Linked DNA regions of Notamacropus eugenii. The protein of the gene in region 2 binds, or shares a complex with, the protein of the main gene of each other region. Links are inferred from orthologs where the notes say so. Each region holds a gene or a part of one and is shown on either strand. Other genes may lie near its edges.

Region 1 (10,204 bases), on a different chromosome or scaffold from region 2:
ATTGTTACTGAGGAAGGTCACGTGGGGTCCTTGGTGTGGGGCTGCTCCATTCTGATACCCTGGGCCTGAATTCCCACCTGGGGGCTTCCTCTAGCTTCAGCTTGTTCTTCCTGCCCCCACCATGACTAACCCCATGACCAGACCAAATACCACGTAGCAGTTGGGCAGCACCCAGGAGCTGGCTCTCTCTACAGGAAGCAGTTTCCATGCACTCTGGGGCTGGTACCATCTGGGATTCTGTGGGGTTCCTGTCAGGCCAGTTTATGCCACCTGTCCCAAAATATAGCTGGGAGATGTGTGTTTTGGGGAGGGCAGTAGAGACAAGGAATTAGTAGCATTTTCTTTACTGATGCAAATACAGAGCAAAGTGGGGCATTATGGGTGAGAGAGAGGGGTAGGTTAGGCTGAAATCAGAGGGATATACTGACGACAAAACTGGCTTTACACCTGCAGTCAACTCATTTATTTATCATGGAGGGTTTGGCACTTGTTCTCATGCAGAAGAATAGGAAATGAATATGTCAGCTACATGTCCTGGATTTTTAGTAAGATGACAGTTTTTGGGAAAAGAAATTGTCCTTTTAATAACACTTATCTAAAGGATTAGCTATATTTGCATTATGATTTGGGGGTGTAGAATATAAGGTCATACTCCCAGTTCCAGGGATAGTACTGCTGGTTTTGAAATGAATGAATATTAGAGACCCAGGGCTTATTAAAGTCCCTTCCCCTGAAGAAAGTCCCTTGACATTCCTGCATTCCAAGAAGAAGGTGAACAGAAGTGAAGGAATTCAGGGTATGTTTGTGGGGTGGGGGAGGGTGGAGGTGGGTAGTAGGGAGGGTAGCAAGCCGAGAGGGTGGTACTTTCCCTCAGAGAGGAAAGATCAGAAAGCCAGAGAAACTGGAGAACTTCCAGCCACCAAGCAGGTTCCCTCGGCGGAGACGCAGGGACACTCGGTCTCCAGGGTCCAGGGGTAAGAGCACAGCACTAGTGGCCGCCTCTCGGGTCACATCAGGGTCATTGGCAAAAGCTGAGATCACAGACCATGTATTCAGCATCAGGCTTACCTGGGGAAGGGTGAATTTGGGGTAATTAGGCCCTTTACCCTGGGACCCCCCCCCCCCCCCATAGTCTAAGAAATCTTTGGATTTTGGTATAGCGACTCTTTCAGTGGGGTCATTCATCATTTCTGAGGTAGCTAGGTGATTCAGTGGATGGAGCACTTGGCCTCGACGCAGGAATATCTGAGTTCAAATCCAGCCTCAGACACTTACTAGCTATGTGACTCTGGGTAAGACCCTTGACTTCTGTCTCACTCAGTTTCCTCAAATGTAAAATGACGTAATAATAGCATCTACTTTTTAGGGTTATTGTAAACTTAGTACAGGGCCTTGCACATAGTAGGCACTTAATAAATGCTTGTCTCCTTCCTTCTAAATCTTAGCCCTTCCGAGAGAGCAAGGGTTAACTAGGTTCTGTGTCTATGATCTTAGTGACCCTAAGGCTCCCTGTACCAGGATTCCAAATTCCCTGGGCCAGGAGGGCTACATATATTCTATCTCCCTTGACTTGGCCTACAACTGCCACTCAACCTTTAGAAGTGGACCTTTGGACTTTGCCAGGATCTCCAGCCCTACTTACTGGACAGAGGTGATCCAGACTCCTATGGAGTCCTGTGGACACTGTCTTAAAGTGGGGGCAGGTGACTAAACTAGAATTGAGAAACCCAGTGTGAGTCAGGGATGGGGCTGGGTGTATCCAGACTGCCTTTGCCTCTCTCTTCCTCTCCTTGAACTTTAGGAGAAGCAGGGCTCTGGGCTCACCTGAACTGTCTGGCGGTTGTACACCTTTACCACATGGAACCGGAAACTGTAGACACCCCGGACAGGGGCAATAAAGGAGCCTGAGGCCCTGTCAAAGCCATTGCCTTCATTCACTAGGACCTGGGCAGAGGGAGAGAGGGTCAGGAAAAAAACATTATGGGAAGGGTGAGAAAGAGGAATTGGTGGGGTGTAAAAAAAGGAAAGGGTGGGGAGTAGAGGGAAGGAATGGATGAATGGGGTAAAGGGGGTAAGGAAGACTCTTGAATAAGACTACTTGGGGAAAGGGGAGAAAGGTGTAGGAAATGGCGATTGGGCTGGTTTTCTTAAAGAGAGAAGAAGAGATGAACTCTGGGAGGGTAGAAGACTGAGTGGGACTCAGAATAGAAGCCAGTTTTCCTCTCCATTCAGGGGTCAGCAGGTGGGGTGGATGTGGTAGGGGAAGAATGTTACCTGGTCAAAGTAGATGGCGCCACTGGTGCCATTGCCTGTTTCTCCAGCTGGTTCATGATGGTGGCTCCGGACAGCAGCAAAGGCCACCCGCCCTGGTGGAGCCTCTCCCAGGGCTGCGCCGCCTGGACCTCCTGCCATTGCCCGGCCAGGTTCACATACCACAAGGCATTCTCCTTCCAACAGGACAGGCTCTGTCCCTTCCTGTGCCTGACCAGATCCGAAAGCCAGGAGTACAAGTGTCAGGAAAGACATTACGGGCTCAGCTGGTTTTTCCCAGTGTCCAGGACCACTTTTATCTCCTGCCCTACAGGAATGAAGCCCTCTATACCTCTTTTTGTTTTCTGTAGCTCTCCCTCCTTCAGTTTCTCTCCCTCCTATAGTCTCCTTCCTGCCCTCTTCTGCCTCTTTGGTCTTATACTAACTGCCCCTCTTGTTTCTTTGCCCCAGTCTCCTTGTCAACTGGTCTATCTATCTCTTGTTCCATCTCTACCTGGGACCCACAGGATCTGTGTGTCTCTGTGTCTTGCCACTCACTGCTACGGATCCCTCCCCTCTGGCAGAGTGCACAACAGACAGCCAATGGGCCCCAGGAAGGAACAGAGGGAAAAGGAGGAGGAATGAGAGGGAGCATAGCCAGGACCCCAGGGAAAGTCCTTGAGAGCCAGTGAGGCAGGAGCTAGAGCTGATGAGAGATAGGAGTGTGGATGAGGGGCTTCTCCCTCTGTCCCCAGCTCCTTACACACCTGGTTGTTGATGTTAATGTAATGTTGCCTTTCTCTCCCCTTCATCCTTAACAAATAAGATAACATGCAAAGTGCTATGCAAACCTAAAATGCGTAGATATTAGTGGGATAAATTTTGATGATCCTGCTCCCTTAATAAGCCCCATTCTCTTTTCCCCCTCCTTCCCATGCACTCCTCCCCAGCCCCCAGCTCTCCCTAATATCTTTTTCTTGTACTGAGAATCATAGGAAGCTGTGGAAAGGGGTAGCCATCTCTTTTCCCAAGTAATTAAAGTTCTGGAAAGGAAAGTAAGCCAGGAACCAGCAGACATGAATGAGTTCTAGGCCAGGTTCTGCCACTAATGAACGCCGTGACATTTTGGTCTCTGGGCCCCTTTAAACTCCTAAAAATTATTAAGGATTCTCCAAGAGCTTTTGTTTCTATGGGCTGTATCTACGGATATTTAGTGTATTAGAAATTAAAATGTCAGTATTCTTATGAAAATAGTTTGGCCTTGTGGCCCTCACCCTTATCACCCTCCCCTGTCTCCGCAGGGTCCCTGGATCACACTCTGGGAACCTGATTTTGGGCCGAGTAACGACCCCTAGGGCTTAGTTTTTTCTTCTGCAAAATGAAGAGGGTTGGATGAGATAATCTCTGAGGACCCGGTTAGCTCTAAAATTCAGATCAACAGATATTACAGTACTAGGATTCTAGGATGCCATTTCCAATTTATAAACAATGTACTAGGGGAGGCTGGCAGAGGGGAGAATTATGGAAAACTGAGGCAGGAAGAAAGAAGAGAGAAAATAAGGAGAAAGGCAAGGGCAGGAAGAAGTCAGAAGTAAAAGATGGAAGGAGGGAAGATGGACGGGGGACAGGAATAGGGACAGGCTAGAGCGAGCCTCTGGTCGTCTTCCGCCCTCCTCCCCATCACCCCTTTGCCCCCGCCCTCTGACAGCCTGGGTGGAGACCCAAAGTCGCCAGGGCCAGGTCAGCCCCAGGGTGGAGCTGAGTAAAACTCCTCCCCTGACCAGGAAGTGAGGAGGAAAGCAGTTGTGTACGTGAGACAGTCAGGAACCTGGGGTCTGCCAGGGTCCGGTGGAACTCCAGACCTGCTCCCTCTTGCCCCTCTACCTCCAGGGCGGGAGCTTCGGGCTCACGAGCTGTAGGACACCGAGATCGCTGGCCATAAGCTCTAGGTACTCCGGGAGCCAAGACGGATCAGCGCCTTTCCACCTTCCCATTTCTCCCCAGGGGAGGGATGGAAGTACTAGGGGAGACCGAGGAGACGAGGACTCAGAAAGCCCGAGAGAGCAGCAGAGGTTTATGCCCCTGGATGGGACAGCCCCACGACGGGGCAGCCAGGACCACCACCAGGAGCACCGTCCCCGGGGTCAGCTGGGGGGATAGGGGCGGAGCGTAGTTGGCTAACCCTGTGGGACTTGAGGTTCGGGGCTATGACGTTGGAGCCAGATCCGATCCTGGGAGCGGGGAGGATTCGCGCAGAGGGGCTGCCATGTCTGAGCCTGGCTTCTTCCCACGCTGTCAGGGCTGGCCCGGCCACCATGCTCCCGTCGGGGGCCGCTCCTGGGACCACGGACCGCTTCACGGTGCTGGCCGATGCGGAGGACGTAGTGCTGAAACAGCGGCCTCAGGTGGAGCGCATCTTCCGAGTGCGGCTGAGTGTCCTTGAGAAGGCCTGCGCGGGGAGCCCCCACATCTGGCTGCAGCTGGAGGGGCCCCGGGAGAACGTGGGCAGAGCCAAGGTGACACTTCCCCTTCCCTCGGGCTGGGGGGGTGGGGGTGGGAGGGGGGGAGAAGGTCCCCCAGAGGGCCCGTGGTCCTGCTCTTGGAGAGGCTCCCCTTGGCCGGAGTCGCTGCTGTCCCTCGTCCACTTCCTCCGCCTCTCTGGCCCATCGCTCGGGGATTTCCTGGCTCTCGCTGCCTTTTGATTTTTGGTTTCATTTCTTGCAGGTTGCCAAGTTTCAACTTCTCTCTATACAGAGGCTGGGGTGGGGAGGGAGAGCTGAGATTCCTTCTCCTTCCTAAACGGCACCACCTCCCTCCCCCTTCTGTGTGTGTGTGTTGTGTGTGTGTGTGTGTGTGTGTGTGTGTGTGTGAGTGTGTGTGTGAGTGAGTGTGTGTGTGTGTGTGTGTGTGTGTGAGTGAGTGTGTGTGTGTGTGTGTGTCTGTGTCTGTGTGTGTGTGTGTGTAGCCACAATACTGGAAGCTCTGGGGGGGAGGGCGTGAAGAGTGCGTAGACAGACCAGAAGGACAGAAATTAGCTAGAAGAATGATTCCTTCCCTTTCCTTTCCTCCAGGAGTACCTGAAAGGCCTTTGCAATCCAGAGGTGTGGGAGGAAGTCAGCTACCCTGCAGCCCTGCACTGTGTCTTCTTTGGTGCTGGGGGTCTTTTCCTGGACTGCCTGTGTTGGGGTACTTCAGCTCACATGGTGCCCCAAGCCCCAGGCTCTCTGTTACTGGGGGGCCTGATCGAAGCCTTTGTTATGGCCCAAAGCAGGATGGAAGATCTGTTAGGGAAGCTGAGGCAAGGTGGTCTCCAGTGTCCACAGTCCAAGAGTGCTGGGGAACAAGTGACTCAGGCCTTCAAGGCCCTGGTTGGGAGGTATGGGGATGAGCAATCCAGGGCTCTCCTGGATTTGCCAGTGCCTGTCCAGGAGTGGCTGTTAAACTTGGCAAGAGAGGCAGGTAGGGAGCAAGGACTTCCAGAACCTCCTCAGGGGCAAGAGAGGAGCCCAGTTCTCTTGGGGAATGGTGTTTGGGAGGACCCTGTTAGAAAGATTTCGAGTGAGGGCAGAGAAGTCAGAGAGGATGACATTGTCTCATTGGGCACCAGGTCTGTTGACCAGGAAGGGGTTAAGGAAGGGGTTTATGCTAGGGCAGAGTGTCTGCCTTCTGATCCTGGAGAGAGAGACTGGGAAAGACTGTGGTTCACGGGAGAGGAGGATTCCAGGAGGATTGGAGAACTGGTCCGGGAACAGAACTCCCATACACAGAATTTCTCTGGGCAAAGAAACTTGGAGAGACCAGGGAGTCCCAGGGAGGGATTACCTGGGCAGAGGAACTGGAGGAGGGAAGGGATCCCTGAGGAAAGAAATTATCTATCTAGGGAAAGGAACTGGGGGAAAGATGGGTTCCTTGGGGAGAGAGATTGGAATGGGGATGACTTGACTATGGGGAGAGAATGGGACAGAGAAGGGCCCCTTGGGCAGAGGGATTGTGGGAAAAGGGGACATAATAGGGAGGAGGACCAGGACACATTATGGTGTCTGGAAGGAAAGGCCTTAAAAAGAGAGGATCAACCTGATGATATGTCTCAAGGAGAAGGGCCCCAGAGCCAAGATCAATTCCCGAGCCCACTCACTGTCAAGGCTGACTTCCTCCGAGGAGTGAAACAGGCTGCAGCTGATTCCTATGGCCATTCTCCTCAGGCAGTGGTGTGTGACCAGCAGTGGAGGGGCCCCCTAACGCCCCTCCTTCAGCTCAACAATGGAGAATCCTCCCCACCAGTGGGGCCCAACATTCTACCTGGGGCTCAGCCCACATGGCTTGTTTCTCCAAAGCCTGGGGATGGGCAGTCAGTGGGACTTAAGGAGCAGGAGACTCCCAAAGGAAGCTTAGGTGGCAACACTGGTGGCAGCTGTGAGGTGACCAAAACCCAGCGCTTTCTGGAGGCCTTGAAGATGCCGTTTTCCTTGAACCTCACCAATGTTCCTGGTGCAACAGGTCTTCGACATGTTGTCCTCGATGGCAGCAATATAGCTATGAAGTGAGTACTCTTCTGACCTCCAGCCTGAAGGCACTGTTAGGGAGGGCTTAAAGAAAATGATAATAGTCATCCTAACCATAGTTAGCACTTATACAGCACTTTAAGATTTGTGAAGTGCTTTACTTGTACTCTTACTGACCATGAGATATATACTATTTAATTATCCTCATTTCACAGTGGAGGAAACTGAGGCAGACAGATTAAATGACTTGTCCAGATGGAATTCAAACTCAGGTTTTCCTGATTCCAGCAAAGCACCTGAAGCCACATGGTGAACTAGGTAGTGAAAGTATTTTTCAGTGCTGTCCTGGTAGCCAACTTGAAGGGTTAGATTTTCAGTGTGAGCATTTATCCCACAGAAATTGGCAAATGCTACAAATAAACGCTTAATTTACTGTTCTGTTCATGGTCTAGACTTAAGAAAATAACCCAGAAAATGCTAATAATGTAGACCAAATGTAAATGTGTTATAGGTATATGTCTTCCCCCCGAGAGAGCTGGTTGTTAAACATTTGTCAACATCCCCCTGATTATTGTCATTTGTAGGTGAAGAAATGAAAATGGAGGTGCAGAGATATGATGTTACTTGTTTTCAGTAATGTGGCTAGTTGGGAAAGGGACTGAAATCTCAATCTGGGTCTTTGGTTCTAGTTTCAGCAGAGTGATTCATTTGCTATGTGATTTTGGGAAAGCCTCCCTCTCTGTCTTGTTTACTAGATAAACTGATCTCAGATTATTTGTAAAGATAATGCTTCACTAAAGACACCGAGGGTGGCTTCAGCATTACATTGTGGAGGCTAAGAGACTGCCTATAGAGAGTGCTGATTTTGGCACTAGAGGACCTGCTTTCAAATGGTAGCTCTGTCACTTTCTACCTATGGGACCTTGAGCAAGTCATTTAACTTCAGCCTCAGTTTCCTGTAAAATGGGGAGGAGATTGCACTAGATCCTGCACTTTGGACTCTGTGGCCAGTGATATTTTTTTTCCTGTCTCACTGGTTGCTTCTTGTTATATCCAAAGATAGGTCTGTCTGCTCTCTTTGAGCCCCCTGGAGGATGCCTTAGACACAGGGGTATGGATGAAGTGCCTTGTTCTCAACGTGGACACCAGTCTAATCCCAGCTCTTTGCTTTCTCAGCCATGGCCTCCAGCATTTCTTCTCCTGCCGGGGCATTGCCTTAGCTGTGCAGTATTTCTGGGATCGGGGGCACCGGGAGATCACTGTCTTTGTGCCTCAGTGTCGTCTTAGGAAGGATGCCAAAGTGAAAGGTGAGCAGAGTTTCACCCCAAGACTCTTATTTACCCACTACCTACCTTCCCTACCCAGGGACTAACCAGGCCATTCAATCCCTTCCCACCCTCATCTGGATCCCTCCCCCACAGAACGTCATTTCCTGACTAAACTACAGTCCCTCAGGCTGCTCTTTGTCACCCCCTCTCGAATTGTGGAAGGGAAGAGGATTACCTCCTATGATGACAGGTACTCCCCACCCCCAAAGCCCTAGCCTTGGTGACAGGGGAATGAAGGGAGGGCAGAGAGAACCATGGAGGAGGGGAGGTTAGAAGAACCTATTCTCAGCTCAAGTTGGGGAAGGTTGATATCAATGCCCCTTCTGTCATGTCACTTAAGACAGTCAACACGCAATTTATTAAGTGCTATGATCCAGAGACTGGGCTAAGTATGGGAAGTACAAAGAAAGACTTACAATTGTGCCAGTCTCAGTTCTCCCCCCAAGTCCTCTTGTGTGTGTGTGTGTGTGTGTGTGTGTGTGTGTGTGTGTGTGTGTGTGAGACTTGCTTCTGTCCTCTCTGGAAACACAGCAAAAATGCCAGGAATACATACTTTTCATTGTGGTCACTGGGATTAGGGGAGAACCATCAATTTCTCTCGAGAAGGAAACTTTTTTTTTGAGATAGAGTGTTTTAGGAGCTCTGGAGGAAGAGCCAAAAGAAGACAGGACTAGAATGAAATCTGTGGGCTACCACCAAGATTCTAAGGCTCAGTTTCTTCATTTGGAAAATGAGGGGCTTGGACCCTAAGGTCCTTCTAATTCGATTAGTGATGAATCTAGCTCCTATCAGGGATGTAGGGGCTGGCTTCTCAGTTCCTTGAGGTCCCTTGAACACAAGCATCTCTGATCCCATCTCAGATATCTGATGATCCTTTCTTAGGCCAGAAATCTGCTCTGATTGTTTTCACTCATTAATTCAATCCACACATGAAAGGTTAGATGAATGGAGAAGTGTTCAGCCAGCTTGAGAGAAGCACTAAATTTCATAGTGGTAAGGGAACTCAGTGGTAGCTAGATGGCTGGCTGGAGCTAGATGGCTTGAGCCCTGACTACTCATCTTCCCTGAGTTCAAATCTGATCTCAGATACTTACTATGTGACCTTGGGCATGTCACTTAACCCAGTTTCAGTTCTTTACCTGTAACATGAGCTAAGAAGGAAATGGCTAACTACTCAGGATTACCCTTATAGTGTGATACGCCCACTTGTATTTGAGCAAAAAATTGTCTTCCAGTCAAAGCTTGGGGGAGTAGTAGAGAAGATTGTCTATTGAGGGGGAACCCACTACCTCCCAGAACTTCTCATTTCACTTTCAAGCTGCACTAATTGTTAGGAAAATCGTTATTCAGTATTCAATCTCAGCATACTCTCCAGGATCCCACAGATCACATAGCATGTCTTGGTCCTTCTGTCTTCCACCATCTTTCACAGTCTGTCCAAGCATGATCATTCCTTTCATGATACTATCCATCTCATCCATTGCCATCCATTTTCCTTTTGCCTTCAATCTTTTCCAACATCAGGGCTTTTCCAATGAGTCCTGTCCTCTCATTATGTGATCTAAGTGTAATCTTCAGCTTCAGTATTTGGCCTTCCCATGAATGGCCTGAATTAATTTCTTTAGGTATGGACTAATTTGATCTCCTTGCTGTTGAAGGGACTCTCCAAAGTCTTCTCCAGCTTGCAGTTGTTATCCCCGGAAAGGTTTCCGCTAATCTCATCATCCAGCACCACCATTCGAGAGAGTCGATTCCGGGACACGCAGATTTCCTTATTTCCCATTTCTCACAGCAATACAATGCTACCGGAAAAACCATAGCTTTGACTATACAGACCTTTGTCAGCAAGGTGATAGATGTCCCTGCTTTTTGGTAGCTGTCCAGATTTACCGTAGACATCTTTCTTCACATTGAGCTTCACTGCTGTAAATTTTAGGAAGTGACTCTCTCTGCTCCTTACATCCTTTGCTTTTCTCTCTGCTCTTGGCCTCCCAGCAGAACAGTCTCTCCTTCTGTATCTTGAGCCAGCCTTCCCATCCTTCCTAATCTCTAGGCTAAATGTTCCCAGTTCCTCCAACTCAGTGCTATAAGGTCCCTCACCATCCTAATCATCTTCTGTTGGTC
Region 2 (10,204 bases):
CTAGGTCACCCCCCCCCCCCCATCAAACTGTGGAAATAAAACTTCCTGTTTTCCCACAATATTAATCTCCCTTTTCTTACTTTTAAAAAGTAAGCTAAGTCTTGCAAAACTCTCTTCCTTGCTCGCTGGGTATGTGCTGTTGAGAAAAACATTGCTAGGAAGGGAGGGGACAAGGTGGAAAAAATAGAGACAAACAAAACGAGTTTTGAAATACCAGTTTCCTACTAATAAATCTCCACTCACAATGAAGAAGATTACTTGGAAAAAGCAGAAAACATAGCTACGTGTCAACTGATATCCACTATATATCCACTAAGGCCTCCCACTGCTCTTTGGAGTTAGTTAGCGATACAAGTACATTTTTTGTAGAGGGGAGAAATTTTCCCTCTCTAATCTCTTCAAGGTCACAGCTGCAGCTGCAGAAACAAAGACTTCTTCAAAACAAAATTTTGGCAAGTAATAGTTTTTACCTTATTTGTTATATGTACAGCAAGTTTTCAGATATCAAAAAAAGTGTCTTCTTGCTGATGGAAATTGGGTTTTCTTGGATATATTTATGGAGGGAAATTAGTCAATCAATTGACAACACTTATGAAGGGTTATTATGTTCCAGGCACTTTATACAATGTATGTATATTCCTATGTATATACACAGGAAAAGGCAGTAACTAACTGCTGGCATGACATCTTAAGCAAGTGGTCCTTTCATCAGCAAAGCCTCATCAATCATTTTTGTGATCAGCAAACTTACCATGAGCCTCTCCCCTTAAGTTAAGGGTTCTTAATCAAGGATCTATGAATCTGTCTTTAAAAACTGATCACTACATTTCAATATAATTGGTTTCTCTTGAATTTAGTCATTGTGGATCACTCAATTCCCATATTTCTAGAAGAGACTGACCTTGAATTCAGGTTGTCATGACTGTAAGCCAGCTCTCTATCTACTATATGTTGCCTTTCCCTTGTGGCAATTTTAAAATGACAAACCACAAGTAGCAGAAAGAGGCTGAAATCATCATTGACAGAATGCTCAATTTGTCATAGAATCACAGAATTTGGGGGTTGAAAGGGACCCCAGCAGCTCTTTATTCCCACTCATACACAAAATATGCTCTAATATACTGTAAGGATGAGGGTCTATTGACCAAATCAGTGCATAAATTAGGCAAAAGATTGCAAAGAAAAATCAGATAAGAACTCATCTGTATTGAATCATCCAGAAGTGTGAACTAGGTACACAACAAGGCCTGGATAACTCCACTGAATCATTCAATTAATGGCATTTCATTTGGATGCCGCAAGTTGTTTTTTTTTTTTTCTGATTGGTTGAAAGACTTGCTTTGTGGGGCCTGTATAAAACCAATAAATTAGTCTGGGATCAGGGACTTCAGTCTCCAACAGTTTAGTGGTGGAACTTCCAGCCAAACCCTTGAGAAGAAATTGATTGGGAGAAACAGGAGGAGCAGAACACCATTCTCAGTTTCATCTGCTTAATGCAAAGAGGAACTTCTATCCTTCCATCAACGCAATTTCAGCAAGTCATGGCACGGAGGTGCAGGAAGGCATTCTAGACAGAAGAATAATGTCTGAGTCTTTCATTGTTATGACTGAATCAGGAAGAAGCAGACTTGGCCCATAATCATCCTACCACGTTAGAGCAAGGTATAGACTGGTATAGAATGTATACTGACAAAATAAAATGGTGAAACTAAGTAGGCAAATTTTAAGAGACGAACAATCATTTCACTGACTTTCTTGGTTATTGCTGTTGCTTACCTCCAATCTCGAGGAGAACCAATGAGGTGGATGTCTATACTTGTTAGTGAACTGGATTTAAGTGAGGCAAAGTTGTCTGTCTCATTCTCTCCTCCAGGGTCATCAAAGTCCATCAGCAACACAAAGTCAAGACCATTGTTGATGGCTCAGGATGCAGTGACTGATCTTGGCCTTTCTAAATTAAGGTCTTTTCCAGGTCTCAGTTGTCTGAGGCAATGTCCATTCTATGACTAAGGGCTAGGTAAGAATTGAGACAAAAAAAAACCCTAAACCACCACAACCAAACAAAATCCAAAACAAAACCAGATGGTAAATTACCATCACAAAAACATCAATCTTGGAATGGAAGACCCGTAGAATTTCTGGCCTGAACAGAAAACAATTTCCATTTACCCTCATTCTAAGTCATCAAAATCTAAACAATGACCTGCTGAGGCTTAGCCAGAGGGCTATTATTGGCCAATAAAAGCTAGAGTGATTTGAGTTTAAAGGTATGATCAAATAACTGCATGACTGACTGACCGAATGACACATTCTGCTATTTTAATGAGTCAATCATATTTATATGATATCAGTGATTATATATTATATAATTATGATTATATGATTGAATGGAATATAGAATTATAGAACATACTAGGTATAAATATATTATATTGTAATAAATGCTCGTTGACATCATTTATTATTTATTAGTCTATTAATATTTGCTAATATTTAACATTAGTATTTATTAATACTTATTATCAGTAAGCATTTATTACATGTTTATTATGTGCTGTGCACTGGGCTAAGCATTGGAAATACAAATCCAAAAGAAGGATTTTTTTAACCAGAGATAAAAAAGAATTGGCACCAGCAGTTCATAAGGCAAGACTATTTTCTTCCCTCCTTTACGGAGGTAGAGAGGTACAGGTATGGAATCAGAATCAGTTGACAAGGTTTTAAAAATTTCTAAACTCCTCTCCCCCTTTTTCTTATTCTTTTTACAAGTGGTGTCTTACTGAGTAGGATAGTAATTATGGAAAATAAAAGTTACCAATAAAAATTATTTTAAAAGAATAAGGCAAGAACTTCTGTCTTTGGCCTTTCTTTTATCCCCATGGTTTAGCACAGTGCCAGAGACATAGTATGTGTTAATCAATGCTTATTTAATTGACTACAACCATATAAATGGAAAGAACAAAATCCTGAAACTGGATAATGTGTAATTAGACCAAGCTTAGCTTCAGTGAAGAGATGAGAAATTGGGGTTTTCCCCTATTTTGGCAGAAGTAAGTTGCATGTACCGACACGTCTGACAGATAGGTTGGTTACTGTTGCTGAAATGATTTTTTCCCCCTCGTTTTTATTCTTTGTTAAGAGGGATGGGAAGGGATGTACTCGTAAATGTTCAACTGGCTTTCTGGGGAAAAATGTGTGCAGTATACATTTTAAAGTTCCAGTTACACGAACAGTTCTCCACCACTTTAAGTCAAGATAACTAGTAAAACAATTCTGAAGTGTAAATGATCACTTTGAAAAATTAACAGTTGGCTCTTAAGCTATCATCTGAATTGGCTCCATCACACCCTTGGATTCATTTGTAAAGAAAGTAATGTGAAAATAGTAATACAAATTCTTTTAAACGACGAACAACTTTGGCATAAGTGAAAAATAAGCATGCAACAGAATTTATTGGATAAACAAATCATAGTATCTCCTATTTACAGTTATAAAGTTCTTTATGTGCTGTGTTGTCTCACGTGACCCTCCCAAATCCTACGGGGAGGTAGGGCATTACCGCTATTAAGTAGAAGATACGAAGGAAAAAATGGAAATCAACCTTTTTTTTATTAAGCGCCCACTAAACGTCGGACTCGGTGGGCGGCTACACCAAGAATGAAAACAATCCTTTCCACTTACGGAACTTACAGACATACGTAGGGGGCAGAGAAATGCAGAGCGAGGAAGGGGAGAGTCCGGGGCCCGGGGTGGGAGGGAGCCCAGGGCCAGCGACCAGCACCGCGGGCTAGTCCTACGGCGCAGCCCGGGCTCATTTCTGGACTAGCCGAGACTCGACGTAAGAAGCCCGGGGGGGAGGGCTGTTCCCAGGCAGAACTGGCAGGAGTTGGAGAAGGGAGGAGGAGGAGGTCGGGGGAAAGGGGCTCCCCCTCTTTCCTTCGCTTTCTCGCCCTGCGCACCAGCTGTTCTGGAAGGCAGTGAAAGTCTGGGGTAATTGCCGAGCCTCCCCAGGGAAGTCCCCGATCGAGGGCTCCCAGACCAGCAGTTTTCCCACTAGAAGCTAATCTCCAGGAGGCAGCCCCGGGCTGGGGCGTTTCCGGAAAGTCAGAGCCCCCGGTTGGGCCCGCCCCCTCGGAGCTCTAAGTTTCGTTTCCCTAGCCCAGCCTCGGCAGTCCCGATTCGGAGTCCGCTCGGCTTCCTGGGCGGCTGCGCTCGCGGAGCCCGGGCTGGCCATGGCGGACCCGGCCGTGTGCGGCTTCCTCACCCAGGTCCTGTGCACCCATGGGGGCCGCATGGAGCTCCGCAAGCTGCTCGGCTTCATCGAGCTGCCCGAGGCGCAGCTCCTGGAGGTGCTGAGAGAAGCCGGCCCCGATCGCTTCGTGCTCCTGGACGAGGACAGCGACGCCGGCCCGACGGTGCTGGCGACCACCCGCGTGCGGGTGTGCCGGCGCATCGTGTGCGGGGGCGCCTGCGAGGCCCTGCACCTCTGCAAGCTCAACCTGATGGGCAGGTGCCGCCGCGAGAGGTGAGCGCGGCCGCGGCCGGACCCCGGGGCCCGGACCCCCGGGCCCTCTCCCTTCCCTTCTCCCACACGCCCACCCTCCAAGCCTTGCACCCCCTTCGCCTCCATCCCTCCCCCGCCGCCTCTGTTCCTTCTCCCTTCCGTCCCCCCTCCTCATCCACCTCCCCTTCAAGTCCCCTTCCTTTCCATTCCCGCCCCCTTGGCATTTCTCCCTCCTTTCTGTCCCCCCACCTCCTTTCTATTCCCCTCTCTCCCAGCCCTCCCCTCCCTTTCCCAGCCCATCCCGGGAAGTCCAGGCCCGTCCACCCCCCGCCTCCGCATCCCCCGCACCCCCTGCCCGGATTCGGCTAATCTGGCCCCTCATCGGAACAGCCTCTACTTTGAACACTGCTGCCCTCCACTTCCTGCTTACGTGTAACTTGGCTGCAAGTTGTTTTCAGTATTTTAAAAACTTGTGCCTTCTATCCCCTGCCCTGTGGGCGGATGGGCCCCGAAACAGGGTTTATCAGAGAGACAGACTGGATTAGAAAAGCCTGAGGCTGGGCACTCCCCCGGCGCCTTGCCCAGGTCCCGCGGCCCCGCCGGACGTGTCCACCCAGTCCGTACTCTGCTGTCTGGCCCCCAAAGCCCGCACTCCCAGCCTTCTGCCTCTGAAAAATCCGTAACCCCAACGGGACCCGGCCGCCTCCCCTCCTTCCCATTGTGCCCCGCCCCCCATTGTCATAGTCTTTTACCTTTACTTTAGTTCTTATCACCACCGAAACTTTGTTCCGGTTATCAGTGCTGATGGGCCAGCCACCCCCGGGATTCTTTTTTTTAGAGGCTTTATTTATTTTTGTTACCGCGCTAGAGAAGCCCACCCTCTGACACAATGTATATGTACATGTTAGATGGATAACTGTTCGTGCTTCTGTGCATCCTCTCCTTCTCTGGAGGCGGATCTCATCTTCCGTCGTAGGTCTTTTGGAGTTGCTTTGACTAGTGATAATCCTCAGAATTGATTAATCATTCACAGTTATTCCTTTTTTTAGGTTTTGTTTTGTTTTGTTTTTTTCGGTTACCTGGGTTCAGTTACTCTTCAAACATTGCTGTTACCGTCTACCACATTCTCGTACATTTGCTCCTTGCTTTTCATTAATTCATTAAAGTCATTCCATGTTTTTTGTAAATCAACCAGCTCATCCTTTCTTACAGCTAGAATTCTCTTCTGGCTTCCTCCTGTAACCCGGGCCCCTTCTTTGTCTCTCTTCCTGTATGTTAGGTGGTACTCCAAAGCTTAGTCCCTGAAGCAGCTTTTGTGTCTTCCATTTTTGCTTCCACATTGTTCTTTCCCCCGTGGAGATCTCATGTGTTCCTGGGAAGCACTGTGGCTTTCTCACCCAAATTTACTTCTGTTTCTCTGATAAGCCCCAGGGCCGGTCTCTCCACCTATCTGCCCGGTGGAAAAGGGGGCACCTAGTATCCTACCAACAGCTCAAATCTATGTCATCATCTTTCCCTCTAAACCAACCTCCTTTTGTCACATGTATCATCATTCTAACAGGTAACAAAACCTCAACGGTACATAATAATTTGCAAACTTTAAAATGCTATACAAATGCAATTCTTCTTCTTATTTTATTTCTGATTCTTTTTCTTTCACTTGCTCACAACTCCCAGTACAGCAAGTGAGTTTTTTTTGTGTTGTGGATTTGGCATTCTGATAAAACCTATGGGTCCCCCTTTCAGAATGAAGTTTTTCAATGCATAAAATTAAATACCTTAGGTTATGAAAGAAACTAAAGGTTATTAAAAATAAATGTATAATTTTTTTCCTCTAAGTTCACAGACTCCCTGAAATCTATCCATGCCTTGTGGATTTAGGGACCTCAGGTTAAGAATTCCTGATCTAGGGGTTTTCTTTATAATATCTTGTGTCCATCTTTCCCATTTGTTGCTGAAGCCACTTTCCTAATTCAGGCTCCCATCACCCATTGTCTGGACCATTGAAGTATACTGCTGGCGGTCTCCCTGTCTTCAATTATCTCCTCATTACAGTTTATTCCATTCATTGCCCACAGGTTAATCATTCTGAAACATTTGTACGTCACTACCCACTCTGCTCAGAAATCTTTAATGGCTCCCCATGGCAGAGGTGCAGACACAGTCTGATAAGCAAGGCCCTCCCCATATAACCCTGGATGACTCTCCAACCTTTTCCTTGACCATCCCCTGTGCCACGGGTGTCAAAGAGAAAGGGGGCCACTAAACTGTACATAACGATCTCTGCAGCTACATATTGACTTAGAAACCACTTGCTAAAATTATCTATGCATTACTTGTTTTTATGTTTTTAAATTTGTTTTTCCAAGCTCATTAAAGCTTTATTTTACTGACCAAAGATGTGAAAGATGACCATTATATTTTAATCTGGTTCCCTCTTGTAATAAATAACAGTAATAATAATAATAAAAAATAAATTAGTTACATTTTAATCTGGTTCCCTCCTACAATAAAAATATACATAATAATAAAATAAATAATAAAATTACATTATAATCTGGTTCCCTCCTGCAATAGGAAATGTTGTGGGTCTCAGACCTCTGAGCCTCCTGTTTGACACCTCTGCCCTATACGAAGCCCATACTGGCCAAACTGTTTTGCTCTTTGTTCCCCCAAATGTGCCTTGGGCACTCCTGCCTCCCAGTCTTTGTGCTCTCCTTTATACCTGAAATGTCTCACCCTCTCCCTGCTTCTGATAATCTATGCCTTCCCTTCAAGGATAAACTCTAGTCTCACCTCCTTCCTTCCTCTCCACCTCCCAAGCCCTTCCCTGTCCCGGTTCCCCTTCCCACCTCTCAGCCTTATAGGAATATTCCTCCTTTTGAACTCCTGCTGCATTTTGTTTGGTATTTAACATAAATAAGTTTTTTTATGGTGTTTTATATGCTTTTGTTTCTGTCCCATCTTTTACCCCTAGATTGTAAATTCTTTGAGAGCAGTGACTGTTTTACAACTCTTATATCAACCGTGTGTATAATGTCTTATGCCTAGTAAATTCTTCAGTGAATGTCATTTGGTTATGTTGATGACTCATACCTCTGACCTGCTGACATTCTCTTCATCATAGAAGAAAATAGAACCTTGCAAAAACATGCTATTTCCTCATGTTTCTGTTGAGAGAAAATTCACATCTTTGGGTTTTTTAAAATTTATTTTTAGTTTTCAGCTTTCACTTTTATAACATTTTGAGTTCCAATTCCCCCCCTTTCCCCTCCCCCAGATGGCATGCAATTTGATATAAGCTATACGTGTATAATAATATTAAACATATTTCCACATTAGTCATGGTATGAAAGAAGAATCAGAACAAAAGGGAAAAATCACAAGAAAGAAAATAAAAGAGAGAAATTAGGATGCTTTGATGTACATTCAGCCTTCATAGTTCTTTCTCTAGATGTGGATAGTGTTTCCTTCATGAATTGTCTTAGATCTTTGCATTACTGAGAAGAGCTAAGTCTTATCAAATTCAGTCATTGCGCTGACTTTGTGCAGCCCCAGTGTGGCTGTTCTGTGTACAGTGTTCTCCTGGTTCTGCTCACTTCACTCAGCATCAGTTCATGTCATGAAGTTTTTCCAGGTTTTTCTGAATTCTGCTTGCTTATAGAACATGTTCTATCATGTTCTTATAGAACAGCAGTCTTCCATTCCATTCATATACCACAACTTGTTCAGCCTTCCTCAATTGATGGACATCCCTTCAATTTCCAATTCTTTGCCACCACAAAAAGAGCTGCTGTATTTTTGTACATGTGGGTCCTTTCCCCTTTTTTGTGATCTCTTTGGGATACAGACCTAGTAGTGCTATTGTTGGACCAAAGAGTATACATGGTTTTATAGCCCTTTTTGTATAGTTCCAAATTGTCCTCCAGAATGGTTGGATCAGTTCACAACTCCAACGGTATATTGGTGTTCTAATTTTCCTCCATCTTTTCCAATATTTGTCATTATCCCTTTTTTTGTCTTATTCAGTCTGATTGATATGAGTTGATACCTCAGTTTTGTTTTGATTTGTATTTCTCTAGTCAATAGGAAAATTCACAATTTTGATGAAAAGATTGTTATGTGTATTTCTTTTGCTTCTGTTCTGTTTGTTGATAATGGTTGTGTGTGTATGTGTTTATATACACAGATAGAGGGGAAGGGAGAGAGAGAGAGAACTGTGGAATTAATTATTTAAAGTAAGAAAGTTATAAAGAACTATGAATCACAGACTTTTAGAAGTGGAAATTACAAAGATCTTAGGGATTGTGTAGTTCAGTTACCTCATTTTACAAATGAGGAAACTGAGGCCTAGAAAGATGAGGTAGCATCCTCAGTTATAAAGAGAGTCAGAGGTAAAACTCCCATGACACTGTCCATTCTCGAATACTGCATTGCCTCCCTTGTTCAAATGTGCCCTTCAGGAATGGGCAGAGAAAAAAATCATCCGATGGTAAAATAAGTGTCCACTTCCTTAAAACCCTAAAAGTTGTCAACAAATAAAAACAAAACCTAATCTTAATAAAAATAACTTTGGCATCATAACAGTTTGCAAATTGTCCCTGCCTGGCCTCTTCTTGCCCATTGAGGCCTTCCTTTGGTAAGACCAAAAATTCTCTGCAGAAAAAATCTCTGCTTTGTTGGTTAATGAGCCAGTGTTTGAAAAGGCTCAGACGTTTTTGTTGGCTGTTACGACAAACCTGTCTCTGCGAAGATTGACGCAAGTGTTATAGGGCCTAGCAAGATTTTTTTTTTAACTTTGTCCTTTCTTCTGGTTTTTGCTGTCTTTTCACTTAGGTCTGGCATGGAAAGACTGAGAAACCTCCAGAAAAATGTCCTACTCTTGACTGTGTATATTTGAAAACAGCATTTACATGACAAATGGATGACCGAAAATCACTTTTTAAGCAGTTACAATTTACCAAACCCTGCCCTTCCTGCTGGGCATATAAATCCAAAACAAGATAGCCCCTGGCCTCAAGGAACTTCCCTTCTAGCCGGGTAAAGGTGTGTGCTGCGATGTTATGGGATAGATAGTTTGGTTTAAGAAGCCACAGGGAAGATGAGTGTCGCCTTTGGGGCAGTATTGATTTGGTTACTCTTTCTAGAACCAGTGTTGGCAGGGCCAATGACAAGACAGTATGCCGGATGAATGATTACGTAGGATAGGAAGCATGGTCCAAGGCAACCCAGATAGAGGGGTCATGCACTGGATGATGTACCAATCAGGACAATATGGCTCTAGCATTGTTATTCCAAAGGGAGTGGAGATAGCCACCCAGGTCATGTTCTCAGGAAGTTCAAGCGGTGTGGAGGGAATAGACCATTGGGTGGGATGTGTATGTCCACAACATATCTGTATATATCTATATCTGTCTGTATAAACTTGTCTATATATGCCTCAGTGAATTTGTGCTTTTATAAATGTAAATATATGTTTTTTAATATTTCAGTTCAGTTCTACGTCATGTTGAATAAGTGGCCACCCTCCCTTTACTTGAAGACTCTGGTAAAGCAAACCTACTACATCTTAAGACAGGCTGGCCATTCCATTTTAGATAGCTTTAACAATTAAGATTTTCTTGTTGCCTCTTAAACATTTTTGCCCGTTGCTCCTAGTTCTTCCTGGGACCAAGCAAACCCTGTCTAATCCATCTTAGC

Evidence for each region. Proteins that work in one complex are often made in the same cells at the same time.
Region 1: the proteins of ZC3HAV1 (region 2) and KHNYN are in contact, whole or in part, in a crystal structure (PDB 9BGL), measured with the Homo sapiens proteins. The link is inferred for Notamacropus eugenii from reciprocal best matches to the Homo sapiens genes ZC3HAV1 and KHNYN. Residues at the interface, in NP_064504.2 of Homo sapiens: Glu5, Val6, Cys8, Phe9, Lys12, Ile13, Ala16, His17, Glu29, Ile30, Ala31, Leu32, Leu113, Glu115, Phe118, Ser127, Gly128, Leu129, Asn130, Glu133; in NP_001277186.1 of Homo sapiens: His651, Lys652, Asp654, Phe655, Gln658, Arg659, Pro661, Tyr662, Asn677, Phe678.

Annotation. Positions count from the first base shown.
Region 1 is NC_092878.1:8,804,100-8,814,303, reverse strand, and holds the start of KHNYN (protein KHNYN), read left to right. Parts: upstream 1-4,401; 5' UTR 4,402-4,457; coding exon 4,458-4,766; intron 4,767-5,321; coding exon 5,322-6,790; intron 6,791-7,928; coding exon 7,929-8,059; intron 8,060-8,173; coding exon 8,174-8,270; intron 8,271-10,204. Other genes in the region: CBLN3 (cerebellin-3), read right to left, coding at 871-1,068, 1,825-1,944, 2,275-2,526.
Region 2 is NC_092874.1:110,016,879-110,027,082, forward strand, and holds the start of ZC3HAV1 (zinc finger CCCH-type antiviral protein 1), read left to right. Parts: upstream 1-4,066; 5' UTR 4,067-4,232; coding exon 4,233-4,525; intron 4,526-10,204.